3 linked regions of the Callithrix jacchus genome follow. The protein of the gene in region 3 interacts with the protein of the main gene of each other region in a pairwise test. Links are inferred from orthologs where the notes say so. Each region holds a gene or a part of one and is shown on either strand. Other genes may lie near its edges. The genes, in order: TRIM32, RNF144B and UBE2U.

Evidence for each region.
Region 1: the proteins of UBE2U (region 3) and TRIM32 interact in binary tests that used the Homo sapiens proteins (3 or more experiments, as listed by UniProt). The link is inferred for Callithrix jacchus from reciprocal best matches to the Homo sapiens genes UBE2U and TRIM32.
Region 2: the proteins of UBE2U (region 3) and RNF144B interact in a two-hybrid assay, tested with the Homo sapiens proteins (2 studies listed by BioGRID and IntAct). The link is inferred for Callithrix jacchus from reciprocal best matches to the Homo sapiens genes UBE2U and RNF144B.

What each region holds. Positions count from the first base shown.
Region 1 is NC_133502.1:165,034,544-165,038,622, reverse strand, and holds the end of TRIM32 (E3 ubiquitin-protein ligase TRIM32), read right to left. Parts: intron 3,596-4,079; exon of another isoform or gene 3,593-3,595; 5' UTR 3,515-3,592; coding exon 1,553-3,514; 3' UTR 511-1,552; downstream 1-510. UniProt on the Homo sapiens protein: E3 ubiquitin ligase that plays a role in various biological processes including neural stem cell differentiation, innate immunity, inflammatory resonse and autophagy.
Region 2 is NC_133505.1:12,567,113-12,571,498, forward strand, and holds the start of RNF144B (E3 ubiquitin-protein ligase RNF144B), read right to left. Parts: upstream 2,878-4,386; 5' UTR 1-2,877. Other genes in the region: protein DEK, read left to right, coding at 3,505-3,652.
Region 3 is NC_133508.1:101,414,891-101,418,535, reverse strand, and holds part of UBE2U (ubiquitin-conjugating enzyme E2 U), read right to left. Parts: intron 751-3,645; coding exon 554-750; 3' UTR 1-553. UniProt on the Homo sapiens protein: Catalyzes the covalent attachment of ubiquitin to other proteins.

The sequences.
Region 1 (4,079 bases), on a different chromosome or scaffold from region 3:
GCTATTACAACACAAGCCAAAGAAACATTACTACCATAAAAACAATTTTGAGCAGCTCATTTTAGCAAATTTTGTTTCCATGAAAGCAAGGGAGTTGCTCTTTGGCTTGGCATCAGCCTTGCACGTAGAGTAAGATATACTGCTTAGTAAACATCAAAGCCTCAGGAACCTCATCACAGGTTCTCTCACCCATTTCTGATCTTAAAAACAAAACTAACTTCCCTTTTGTGAACTGTAATTATAAACATAAAACATATAGCAGAAGCTCAATTTAGAATAGGGTATTGGTGACCATAAACCTTGGGTGGATGATTCTGTACACGTGTATTTGGGAGAAAGATTTGGATTATTATATTTACATAATAGTGCTTTTGGCTGAATTTTAATCTGGGTAGCTACCTACACTCTCAAAGAACACAGTGTGAGCTAAGGAAGCAAAATGGCATAGTGGAAGTTATCCCTCTTATCATCTCCAAAATCCTGTATTTAATTAAAAGACATAAACACCAGTGAGGAAGAAACAGTTCTCAATTATTTAATGCTTGGCAGAGAAATGGAAAGAGATCCTGAAACCAAATAGTATGAACTCACTTGAGGAAAATACAGAATAACAAACCAACAGTTTTGCTCTTTGTTTTAGTAATAAACATGAAAATGTGTCCACCTCCCCACTTTGTTGGCCCTGGCCTGTGTTGCACTTTCAATAGACACAGGCCAGAAGAGAGAGGTAGTATGAAAAATGATGAGCCCTAATGACTATCCAAGTATGCTGACTGTATCAGCAGTTGTTCGCTTATTCCCAGCTTCCAATGCTTTGGCATAATTCCAATCCACAGATGCTTCTTTAAAAGGCCAGCAATTTCCAGGCTGAAGTCGTCAATACCATCCAACTAGGGTCAATCCATTCTGTCACATCTCCAACTTTCAATCCAAGATGGCACAGATCCTCCAGCCAAGAGGTACTGCTTCCTAAAGGGCCTGTGTATCCCCTTTGGTAGCACTAAATGAATGAGCTTTCACACTGGTGAAGATGACTGGACTGAGACATCATATTACAGGAATATGATGTCTGAAACGTCACTGAAAGGTGGAGCAGAGACCACTGAAGCATGCACACTGAATCCAATCAGAGTTGAAGAGGAAGTGTCACAGATGAAGCACATTATAATAGGAAGGAAACAATGAATCAAGGGCATCAAAGCCAAAAGGAAAAAAATCAAGGATTTAATACAAGGGCAAATGTCAAACATGGCACAAAGGGCTAAAGTGGCTCTTTCTACTAAAGCCTTGGAAGTGCCTAATTGCTAATCAAACTTCAGCTAACACCATCGTATGTCCTATTTGGGCAGTGCATCTTTTAAAGCTCTAAATTTAGGTGGAAAGCGGGGAGGGGAAAATAAAAAACACTAAAAGATGGAGCTTCTGAAGTTCTAGAACTACCCAGCTGGAATCAAGACATAGGCCAAGTCTACTCTATATGAGCCACTAACAACCAAGAACTAAGGGAAGGGAGGTTGGCTAGGGAGCAGAAGAAACTGGTATTTCTCATCTCCTATGGGGTAGAATATCTTCTCAGATGGTAGCTGTAGATCTTGATGCAATGATCCCAACAGTCTAAGACGAGCAGCTGCCCCTTGGGAGTGAGGGCTATGCCCACCGGACAGGTAAGTCCTTCTCGAATAAGGACACTATAGCCCCCACCCTTAGGAAAATGGAGAATTTCCTTGCGACTACTATCAGCCACGATGAGATCACCACGAGCATCCACACACATGCCAGCAATGCAGCGGAAATCCTCATTCTCCGAGAAGAAGTGGCTAATCTGGCGACCCAGCTGCCCATCAGGGCCTACAGAGCCAATGGAAAAGCCACCCTCCAGGTGGTGCTCATTCTGCCGATTCTCCAGATTAAGGCCTAAGCCCTGGGTGAAGTAGACGGTGCCCTCTGCATCACAGGTGACAAATTTGGGCCGCACAGCACTGCAGAGGCAACTGTATTTGACCACCCCTGATCCTCGATCAACTGTGAAACACCAAAGCTTTCCACCTTCCACATCCGTTACTACAAACTGGCCAGATGGCAGGGCTGTGATGCCCCATGGTTTGCTCAGCTGGCTCCTGTGACAGGCCACACAGTGGCCATCTAAGGTATATACCTTGAGGGAGTTATCATAGCTGTCAGTCACACCAATTAGCCCATGGCAGTTCATGGCCACTGAGAGAGGAGTGAGGTTGGGTAGATCCGCCCCAAGAAAACTTAGCACAAAGCTATCAATGCCACTGGGGCTGCGGCGGATTTCCTTCAAAAAGCCTTTGCGGGTAAAGACTTGTATACGATAGTTGCCACGGTCAGCAACTAGCACTTCACCTTGACTGGTCACGTAGAGACTGACTGGAAGATTGAACATTCCTGGAGTGCTGCCTTTGGCCCCCATCTTCTTGAGAAAGAGGCACTGCTGGATATTGGAGGCTGCCTCAGGACCCCGCTGTTTAGCAGGTGAGGCCCTAGGGCTGGCAACCACTTCCTCCGGGCTCATGTCCATCTCTCTAAATGTAACAGAGGTAGAGGCAGCAGAGGCTGCAGCTTCCATGGCCCAGGAATCTTCCATGTTAACTGTTCGGGGCTTCTTAACAGCTTGCCCAATTTGAAGGGGGCCAACATGACCTACCTTAAGGAGCTCCACATCTTGCAGGGTGAGCTCCCGAGGCAAGCTGGCAGTGAGCTCTGGCTCCTCCTCATCAGCTGTCTCCTCCAGTAGTGCTACATCTGCCTGCTTAATTTTGGCCAGGAAGTAGTCACAGCGAGACACAGCCTGCACCTCTGCAATGTTAAGCAGGTAACTCTGCTCCTCTACCACTTGACTATTGCACTTCTCAGCTTCAGCCAAAGAGCCTGTGAAGAACTTCCGAGAGCGAGCCAGCTCATCCTGGACCCTGCGCTCCTCATGTCCATACTCCTGGAGAACTGCTTTATACCTTGCCTGAAGGTCCTTGGAGACACCTTCCAAGGCTACCTTCCGCCGCTGCAGCTCCCCCATAAGTTCCCGCAGACGAGTCAACTTCTCTCCAAAATCCCGACGCCGCTCCTCAGCTGCCTCTTTGACAGGGAGTGTACAGTGACCAGGAGGCTGATGGTCTGCCTCCCGGCAGGGCTCACATAATACCAAACCGCAGCTCCGGCAGAACTGCCGGGGCAGACGCCGCCCACAGGACCGACACATGAGCAGCCCCACAGCCTCACTGAGCCCAGCTGTATCAATGATCTTTAGCACTGTCAGATTGTCTGTCAGCTGGGTCAAGCTGGTTATGCGGGTAATCTTGCTGCAAAAGGGACAGCGGACACCATTGATGCTACTGGCCAATAGCTTCTCCAGGCACTGGCGGCAGATGGTATGGCCACAGTGCAGGAGCTTGGGCCGCAGCTGCTCTTCTGTGAAGGACTCCATGCAGATGGGGCATTCTAGCACTTCCCGGAGGGCATCCAGGTTCAGGTGAGAAGCTGCTGCTGTAGCCATTGCTCTTTCTTTGAAGGGTACTGCTAGCACAGCTCAGAACTGAACAGCACAGTATTCATGCCCTAGAGGGTCAAGTTCCTGCTAAAGAGAAAAAGAAACCATTATTCAATTTCCTCTGACTATATAAATCAGTTCACTGAAGAAACATTTAGAGAATAGCTATGATCAGTCGTTCAGTCATTCACTTACTTAACAACTATCTTACAGAGGTCTATTATGTGTCACGTGAGGGTGACTCATAGGGAAACAAAACAGATGAAACACTGCATAGTGGATAATAATTCAGATTCTGTAGTCTAAGATGCTTACTTAGTTGCAATGACCATAAGGAAGTAATTCAAACTTCCAAAAGCTCTTTCCCCATCACTCATCTATAAAATAGAAGTAGTAATGGTGTCTGCTTTATATGGTTCTTGTAAGGGCTAAGTAGCAAGATAAATACGATATGCTTGATATAGCACCAGGGAAGTAATATACTTGTAATAAATGCTAATAATTATTTTGCTATTTCGTGAATTTTACAACTCATAATTTACACTAAGAGAAAAGCACAGGAGAATTACAT
Region 2 (4,386 bases), on a different chromosome or scaffold from region 3:
ATCTGACTCAGTGGATCACTCTCTCCTTCAAAAACACTCCTTTGTCACCTGGCTTCTGGGACACAATTTTCATGTGATTATCTTCCCACTTCACTGGCTACAGTCGCTCCTTCTCTTCTCCTTGTGGGCTCCCCTCTCACTCCTGAACCTGTAAACACTGGAGAGTTCCAATGTGCCATATTGAGCATCTCCTCATCCCTACCTATATTCACTGTTAGTGATTTCAGTTCCAGGGTTGTAGATACCATCTACATGTTGACAACTGCTACATTTGTATCTCCAGCTCGAGTTACTTCTGGTGAAGGCCAGACTCTCAAATCCAACTGCCACTCCTGAATCTCCATTTTTGAATTCTCAAAACTAACATGTCTAAAACAAAACAACTCATTCCCACCTCCTGCACTTTCCCCTTCAAAACCATCCTGCCCACCCCCACCCCTGAAGTCTTTCTTATCTCAACCAATGGCTACTCTGTTCCTACAGTTGTTGAACCAAAAACCCCAAGGTCATCATTGACTTCCAGCTGACTCTTGCCCACATCCAAAACTTCAGAGAATTCTTTGGAACAATCAAGTCGGTCTTCAGAGTTCTCATTTTCTTAGGATCTTTTCAAATGTCTTATTAATAAGATGTTGCTTAATTGCTGAATATATAAAACAAAATCCCATCCACCCTACCGGTACTTCCTATCTTCTTTAACTTGCTTAACTGTTATCACTAACTGTTGTAGGATTTATATTCACTTATTCATGGTCTTGATGGCAGTGGCAGCCCATCTGGAGCAGCCACTGAGAGGATGCCAGCTGCAGCATGGAAGGCACAGCCAGAGCCGCACACTCCTCAGAGCCAGCAGGGGCCGGGAACACGCAAGAGGCCCGCCCCCTACCGAGTTGGTAAGCATCGGTGGTCCAGCAACAGCTCTGGGCCCAGGCATCCTCGCTCTTGGGAGCCCAAGAAGCCCCTGCCCCTGCAGGCTTGAAAGTGCCTGCTCCTGAGGTTACAGTGAGCCAAGATCATACCACTGCACTGCAGCCTGGGTGACAGTGAGACCCTGTCTCAATTAAAAAAAGAAAGAAAGAAAGAAAGTGCTTGCTTACAGGCCTCTATCCTCTACTCAATCCCAGGGCCTGCTCCAAGGCAGAGTAAAGCTGTGGCTGCTACTGCAACCCAGCTGGGTGTGTACGCATTCAGGGTAGTACTGACACACCCTCCCCCTGCCACATCCACCCCCTCTGGACTTTGGACACCAACAACTGCAAGAAGGGTCTGAGGGTGGCTCTGTGTGCACCTGCAGGGATCCCTTGGCATAAACTGCCTGCGTGCCACAGATGACATGTTGATGGTGGGAGGCAGACAAGTTCCTGGGCAGAAAGGGGTTGGTGCCTGCTCACCTTCAAACCAGGTACCAGTGGCCAATTCTGGGCAGAGTGAGAACTTATGGTGCTTTTTCTGGGCCCACCAATGGACCAATCAGCACACACTTCCTCCCTTCTGAGCTCATAAAAACCCCAAACTCAGCCAGAGGTCCGGACTACCAGCTATAGGAAGGAGCTACCCACTTTGGTCTTCTCAACTTGTCAGGACAACCTGCCTGCAGAAAGGAGCTGCCCATTATGGGTCTCCTCTCCACTGAGGGAAGACACTGGTCAGGACAACCTTCCTACAGAAAGGAGCAACGCACTTCAGGTCTCCTGAGAGCTGTTCTGTCACTCAGTGAAGCTCTTGTACACCTTGCTCACCCTACAGTTGTTTGGGTGCCTCATTCTTCCTGGACACAGGACAAGAACTGAAGACCTGCCAAATGGCAGGACTGAAAGAGCTATAACACAAATAGGGCTGAAACACAAACTTCTGATCCTTCAACTATGTGTCAGGTAACAAGGAGAGACAGCTATGGATAGGATGCGAGTGGAATCAATAGTGTGGAAAATGGTATACAAGAGTAGGAATGACACCACTGGCATATGTTTTGGAAGGGGCACAAAAGGAAAAGAGAAGATTCAAAGAAACGGTTTAATTTTTGTCCTGCAATCCAGAATCCAAGCAAATTTCACTGACCGTATTTCCATTAAGTCCACTGAGTACAAGGATCCGCTGGGTGAGCTGGTGGTTGAAGAGCTGAGATAAAATAAAGGAAATCACATACAAAAGAAGGCAGCATGGAGCAGGGAAGATACTGCTTTGAGTGTTTGCAGTGTTGAATGTAAAAAGCACCTGCAGAGATAGCCTAGAACTCTGGGAGAAGGGTCTGGACCTGGGCAAATAAGGTATTTCCTGTATTCTAAAACAGAGTAGTGTGTGCAAGAGAGGAGAGGGGAAGGAATCCGGTGGGAGGGAGCCTTTCCCCCTATATTCACAGGGGTGTAAATCTATGTGGCTGGTTATGTGAACCTTTAACGTGGCAAGTAAGGTCTTTTTCCTTGCAATGCACCTTAAAAGCAACGGGGTCCTCAGAAACATAGCAGGTTGGGGAGTTATATATCACCCAGCATGATTTCTGGGGCATTGATGAGATCGCTGACTGAGTAATTCCCCTCCGCCTCCAAGAAACGTTATCGATAGCGACTTCGGGGATCTCTAAACTTCTTTACCGCCGCGCCCCTCCCCGGCCCGGGACTACTCATCATCTTTTCCGGGAAGCGACGGTGGAGACAATAAACACGCAGGCCCCCTAGCGTCCTTCCGTTCCGCGCGGCCAGGCCGCCTCGCCTCCCGCTCCCCACCGCCACCCAGGACACAGCCCGCCCGCACCTCAGGGCCCGAGCGCCGACCGCATGCCAGGCGCAGCCCGGGAGAGCCTAGAGCGCGCATCCTTCCTTCCGCGGCCGCGGAGACCCCTCGCAGTCCCGCCCGCCCGGGCTTCCCGCGGAGGCACCCGGCCGCCCCGCCTCCCCCGCCCCGCGCCCGCCAACTCCCAGCTCGCGGCCCTGATTGGTCGCCGCATTCCCGCTCTCCTTCCCGAACCGCCATTTTGAAAATCTTGTTGATTCTAGGGAGCCGAGCGCGCGGCGTGAGCGTCACGCCAGACAGCGGCCCGCGCGCCTTCTCCTCGGCGTCGGCCGCCGCCGCTTCCTAGAACCTCCTCGTGTCCTCGCACGACAGGCCCGCGGCGGTCGGGACCCGCGGTGAGGGCTGCGTCGGGACGCAGGAGGCCCGGTCGTCACTCCCGCGGCCGACGGGGGAGGGACGCAGCCATTTGGACGGCGGCTTGGGGCGGGGGAGGGGACGCCGAGGGCCGGCAGCTCGGGCCGGGCCGGGCGGGGAACAGCGCAGGCCGAGCGGGCGCTTTTTCCCGCCTCGGGAATACCTGGACGGCGGCGGGCGGAGCGGCAGGGAAGCGGTCCCTGGGGACTGAGCGCTGCCGTCCCGGCTACGGGAAGAGACAACTTTCAGGGCAGGTGTCCCGCGAGAAGGGTTGTATCTTTCGAGGTGGCCGCCGTGTCCTGCCTACGAGAGCAGGGGGACCGAGACGTCCGGCTTTCTACCCATCCGCAGGTTCACAGCATGTCTGCCTCGGCCCCTGCGGAGGGAGAGGGAACCCCCGCTGAGCCCGCGTCCGAGAAGGAACCCGAAATGCCCGGTCCCAGAGAAGAGAGCGAGGAGGAAGAGGACGAAGACGACGAAGAGGAGGAGGAGGAGGAGGAGGAAAAAGGTGGGGGGAGTTGCATCCCAAATGATGGATTTTTCAGACCGAAGTCCCCCCCCCCCCGCCCGCCCCAGGAAACAGTTTTCTTGCTCTTTTGGTGTTTAGGGGCATAAAGTCGGAGTGATTTTTCAGCGAGAATGCATGCACAATTTATCTGCTTTTGTGTTGAGCGATTGCATAGAATTAACTTTGTGTATTCCGGTATTAGCGTGGTAGTGATGTATTGGAGTGCAGCTGACTTATGCCCGCTCTAAATAAATACTCATTAATTTGACGGGAAGTTTGTAGGTCTTAAATTAGATTTTTTTTTTTTTAACTCCGCATGTGCACCTTTGAAGTTGTTAAGTGGATGTTCTAATTTTGTCCGTTTCATTACACATCTGTTGCCTTTCGACGTTATTGTAAGGTCTTAGTGCAGCCCGTTAAGACTGATGTTAATACATCTGTTGCCTTTCGACGTTATTGTAATGTCTTAGTGCAGCCCGTTAAGACTGATGTTAATGTAGGCTGGACCTGGAAGTATTTGAATACTTGGAAATATTTTTACGTTTGCCAAAAAGTTTCTCTCCCTGGCAAACAGCGGTGAAAGCTCTTGCTACTTGAGAAAGTAGTTCAAAATGAGAAAAGTGAACTCTGAAAGTTAAATGTCTCGGTTTCGGAACTGAGTCTGCTTTAAGGGAGGGCGATATGAACCCTGATTTGACTGGAGGTGTGAAACAGAAACGTGACGGCATTGAGGA
Region 3 (3,645 bases):
CATACGTACAGATTGAGACAACATGGTAAAAAGAGACAGAGAAAATAATGTAAGAATATGAGGAGATAGGTCACGGTTGAAGAGAAAATGGGATGGACTCTGGGATAAAACAGAAGAGGAACATTCGTAAATAGTGACATCTTATTCCTTGAATATGAAGAAAACAAGACAAGGCAGATGTAGGTCCGTGTATAGATCCCTCTACTCGGGTTCATGTCCAGCCTCTGAAGCTTTTAACTGCTCCCCTCCTATCCCAGCCTCTTTCCAACCCATTTCCTGCCTGCACGACACTGTGGGAGTGTAACCCCATTGATTAGCATATAGCAATGAACACCCCTAACTTAGGTAACTTAGTTCTAAAGAAGCAGCACTGAAAAAAGCCAAAGCAACATCTTTACTGATTTGTACTTATATTTCAAATTTGTACCTGCAGTGAGAGGAAGAGAACAACTTGAAAAGAATGGAATTCAAGTTCTGAGAGTCTTCCAAAATTGCTCCACAACGCTGGGCTGTGGTGGAGGCTGTTTATTTTTAAAATCTGATAATGCGCTGCTTAATCTTCTAAAGTATTTGTATTGAGAGTGTTGGTCCAGGAGATCAGATCTTCCACTTCCTCTTCCCTGGGCTCGTCTGTATCATCTTCATATAGCGAAGCATATAATGAAGAGTCATTCTTCCGCTCCTCCTCCTCCATTTCATAAATGTCTGTGATGCTATTTATTGCAGTTGGTGACTCAAGAAAAATTTCATCTGTGGTGGGAATAATGAAAAATGAAATTTAATAGCTATAACAGGAAAAACAATGAAAAGAGAAGCTCCTCCATTTGTAGGATAATGCCAAAGACCATCGGATTGAATGCGAGCAACCTTTTTTAAACTTTCTAAACTTCATGTTTTATAAGTAACTTTGTCATAAATCATTCTTTCCATCTTGCTCAATCTTTTTATGCTTTGCTAGTCCACTCTTTAACATATATTTACTGAGTCCCTGCTAAGGGCCAGTTGATGTGCAAGGGAAAAGCTGCTTTGGGAGCCCAGGGAGGGAATCACTATGTCTAAGTGAAAACAGACTCAGACTTTGAAACATGAGGAGCAGTTTGCTAGACAGAGAAGGAGGTCAGAAAACATTAGACAGAAGAAACAGCACACATCATATAAGCACAAAGGTATGAGAGGACTTGACAGGGTTAGGGGTGATTAGAGTGGATGCCCCTGTACTTCCACTGTGCTAGGTGCGATGCTAAGCAGTTAACAGGCATGATATTATTTAACTGAGACACAACCCTCATGATGGGCAGGCATTATTATTATTATTTTACAGTTGAGGAAACTGAGGCTGAGAAACCTATAGTAACTTGACCAAAGATATCCAGCTAGTAACAAGACTCATCCTAGATTTGTCTATCCAAAAACACAATGTTATAGTACACAAAAACTTTTGTCGAGCTGGAAGGGAGGCTGATCAGGAAAGCTTCATATGTCATGCAAATGACTTTCATCTTTATCTTATAGGCCATATAAAGAGGAAAATAAACTGATGATACGTTTCAAAAGAAGAATATAGATCTAATGTCTACGTTTCTAGATCTATATTTCCACACAGCATGGGGATCTTGCTTTCTGGGGATGAACTCTAGCTGGCACTATTTGTGTTCTGTTAACTCTAAAAGATCACTGTATTCTCTTCCCTTTTTCCTAGTTGCCTCTGGGTTCACTGCCTATTAATGGGTTGCAGGACAAATTCTGTTTGCCTTCTATGTTTATTTTCCTCACTTACATATAAAATGAGCCCTGTAATATTTGTTGTCTCCTTACATTATAGACATGGGCTACAAGTGACTTTTTTTTTTCTTCTGTCTTTGGTTTATAGATAGATACATAGAGAGGCCAGGCATGGTGGCTTACACCTATAACCCCAGCATTTTGGGAGGCCAAGGCAGGTGGATCATTTGAGGTCACGGATTTGAGACCAGCCTGGCCAACATGGTGAAACCCTATCTCTACTGAAAATACAAATGGATCACGAGGTCAAGAGATCGAGACCATCTGGGTCAATATGGTGAAATCCCGTCTCTACTAAAAATACAAAAAAAAAATAGCTGGGCATGGTGGTGCATGCCTGCAGTCCAAGCTACTCGGGAGGCTGAGGCAGGAGAATTGCCTGAACCCAGGAGGCGGAGGTTGCGGTGAGCCGAGATCACGCCATTGCACTCCAGCCTGGGTAACAAGAGTGAAACTCCGTCTCAAAAAAAAAAAAAAAAATACAAAAATTAGCCAGGTGTGGTGACAGGAGCCTGTAATCTCAGCTGCTCTGGAGGCCGAGGCAGGAGAATCGCTTGAACCCAGGAGGCAGAGGTTACAGTGAGCTGAGATCAAGCCACTGCACTCCAGCCTGGGTGACAGAGTGAGACTCCATCTCAAAACAAAACAAAAAAAGAGAGAAAGATACACAGAGAGATTTGAGTTTACACAGTCCCCATTATCCTATGGGTATCCTGAAGCCTCCAGTGATTTTTAATTTTTGTACTTTTGATACTAATATTTAGTTGTAATTAATTTAAGACTAAATTCTGTCTGTGCCTTGACAAAAGCCTCTACTTTATTTTCCATGAACATATTACTGATGGACTAACTCCAGCTCTTTCTAACTATGTTTGGACCTTTCTGACTCCACATGCTTTTGATTACAAGAAATATAAAGCCAAGTCAACCCAGTTTAAACAATAAGAGAATGTTTTATCTCACATAAGAGAAAAGCCAGAGTGGAGGGCTGGATTGACTGTTACAGAGACTCCACAATGTCACAGAGGACATAGTTCTTTTCACTGCTTGCTTTACTGTCTGAGGTGTTGTCTTCACCTTCAGGTGCGCAGCAAGAGAGCTATGGCCATTCTAGTAACCACACCAGACACAGCAAAATCCAGAGGAAAAAGTGGTCTTCTTGCCAAACCTGACAAAAACAAGCATTGGGGAAAGGGTTCCCTATTTAATAAACGGTGTTGGGGAAACTGGCTAGCTGTATGTAGAAAGCTAAAACTGGATCCCTTCCTTACACCTTATACAAAAATTAACTCCAGATAGATTAAAGGTTTAAATATAAGACTCAACACCATAAAAACCCTAGAAGACAACCTAGGCAAAACCATTCATGACATAGGCATGGGCAAGGACTTCATGACTAAAACATCAAAAGCATTGGCAACAAAAGCCAAAATAGACAAATTAAACTTAAGAGCTTCTGCACAGCAAAAGAAACTATCATTAGAGTGAAGTGGCAACCAACAGAATGGGAAAAAGTTTTTGCAATCTACCCATCTGACAAAGGGCTAATATCCAGAATCTACAAAGAACTTAAAAAATTTGCAAAAAAACCACAACTCATCAAAAAGTAGGCAAAGTGTCTGAACAGACACTTCTCAAAAGAAGACATTTATTCAGCCAACAAACATATGAAAAAAAGCTCATCATCAATAGTCATTAGAGAAATGCAAATCAAAACCTTATTGAGATACCACATCATACCAGTTAGAATGGCAATCATTAAAAAATCAGGAAACAACAGATGCTGGAGAAGATGTGGAGAAATAGGAACACTTTTACACTGTTGGTGGGAATGTAAATTAATTCAACCATTGTGGAAGACAG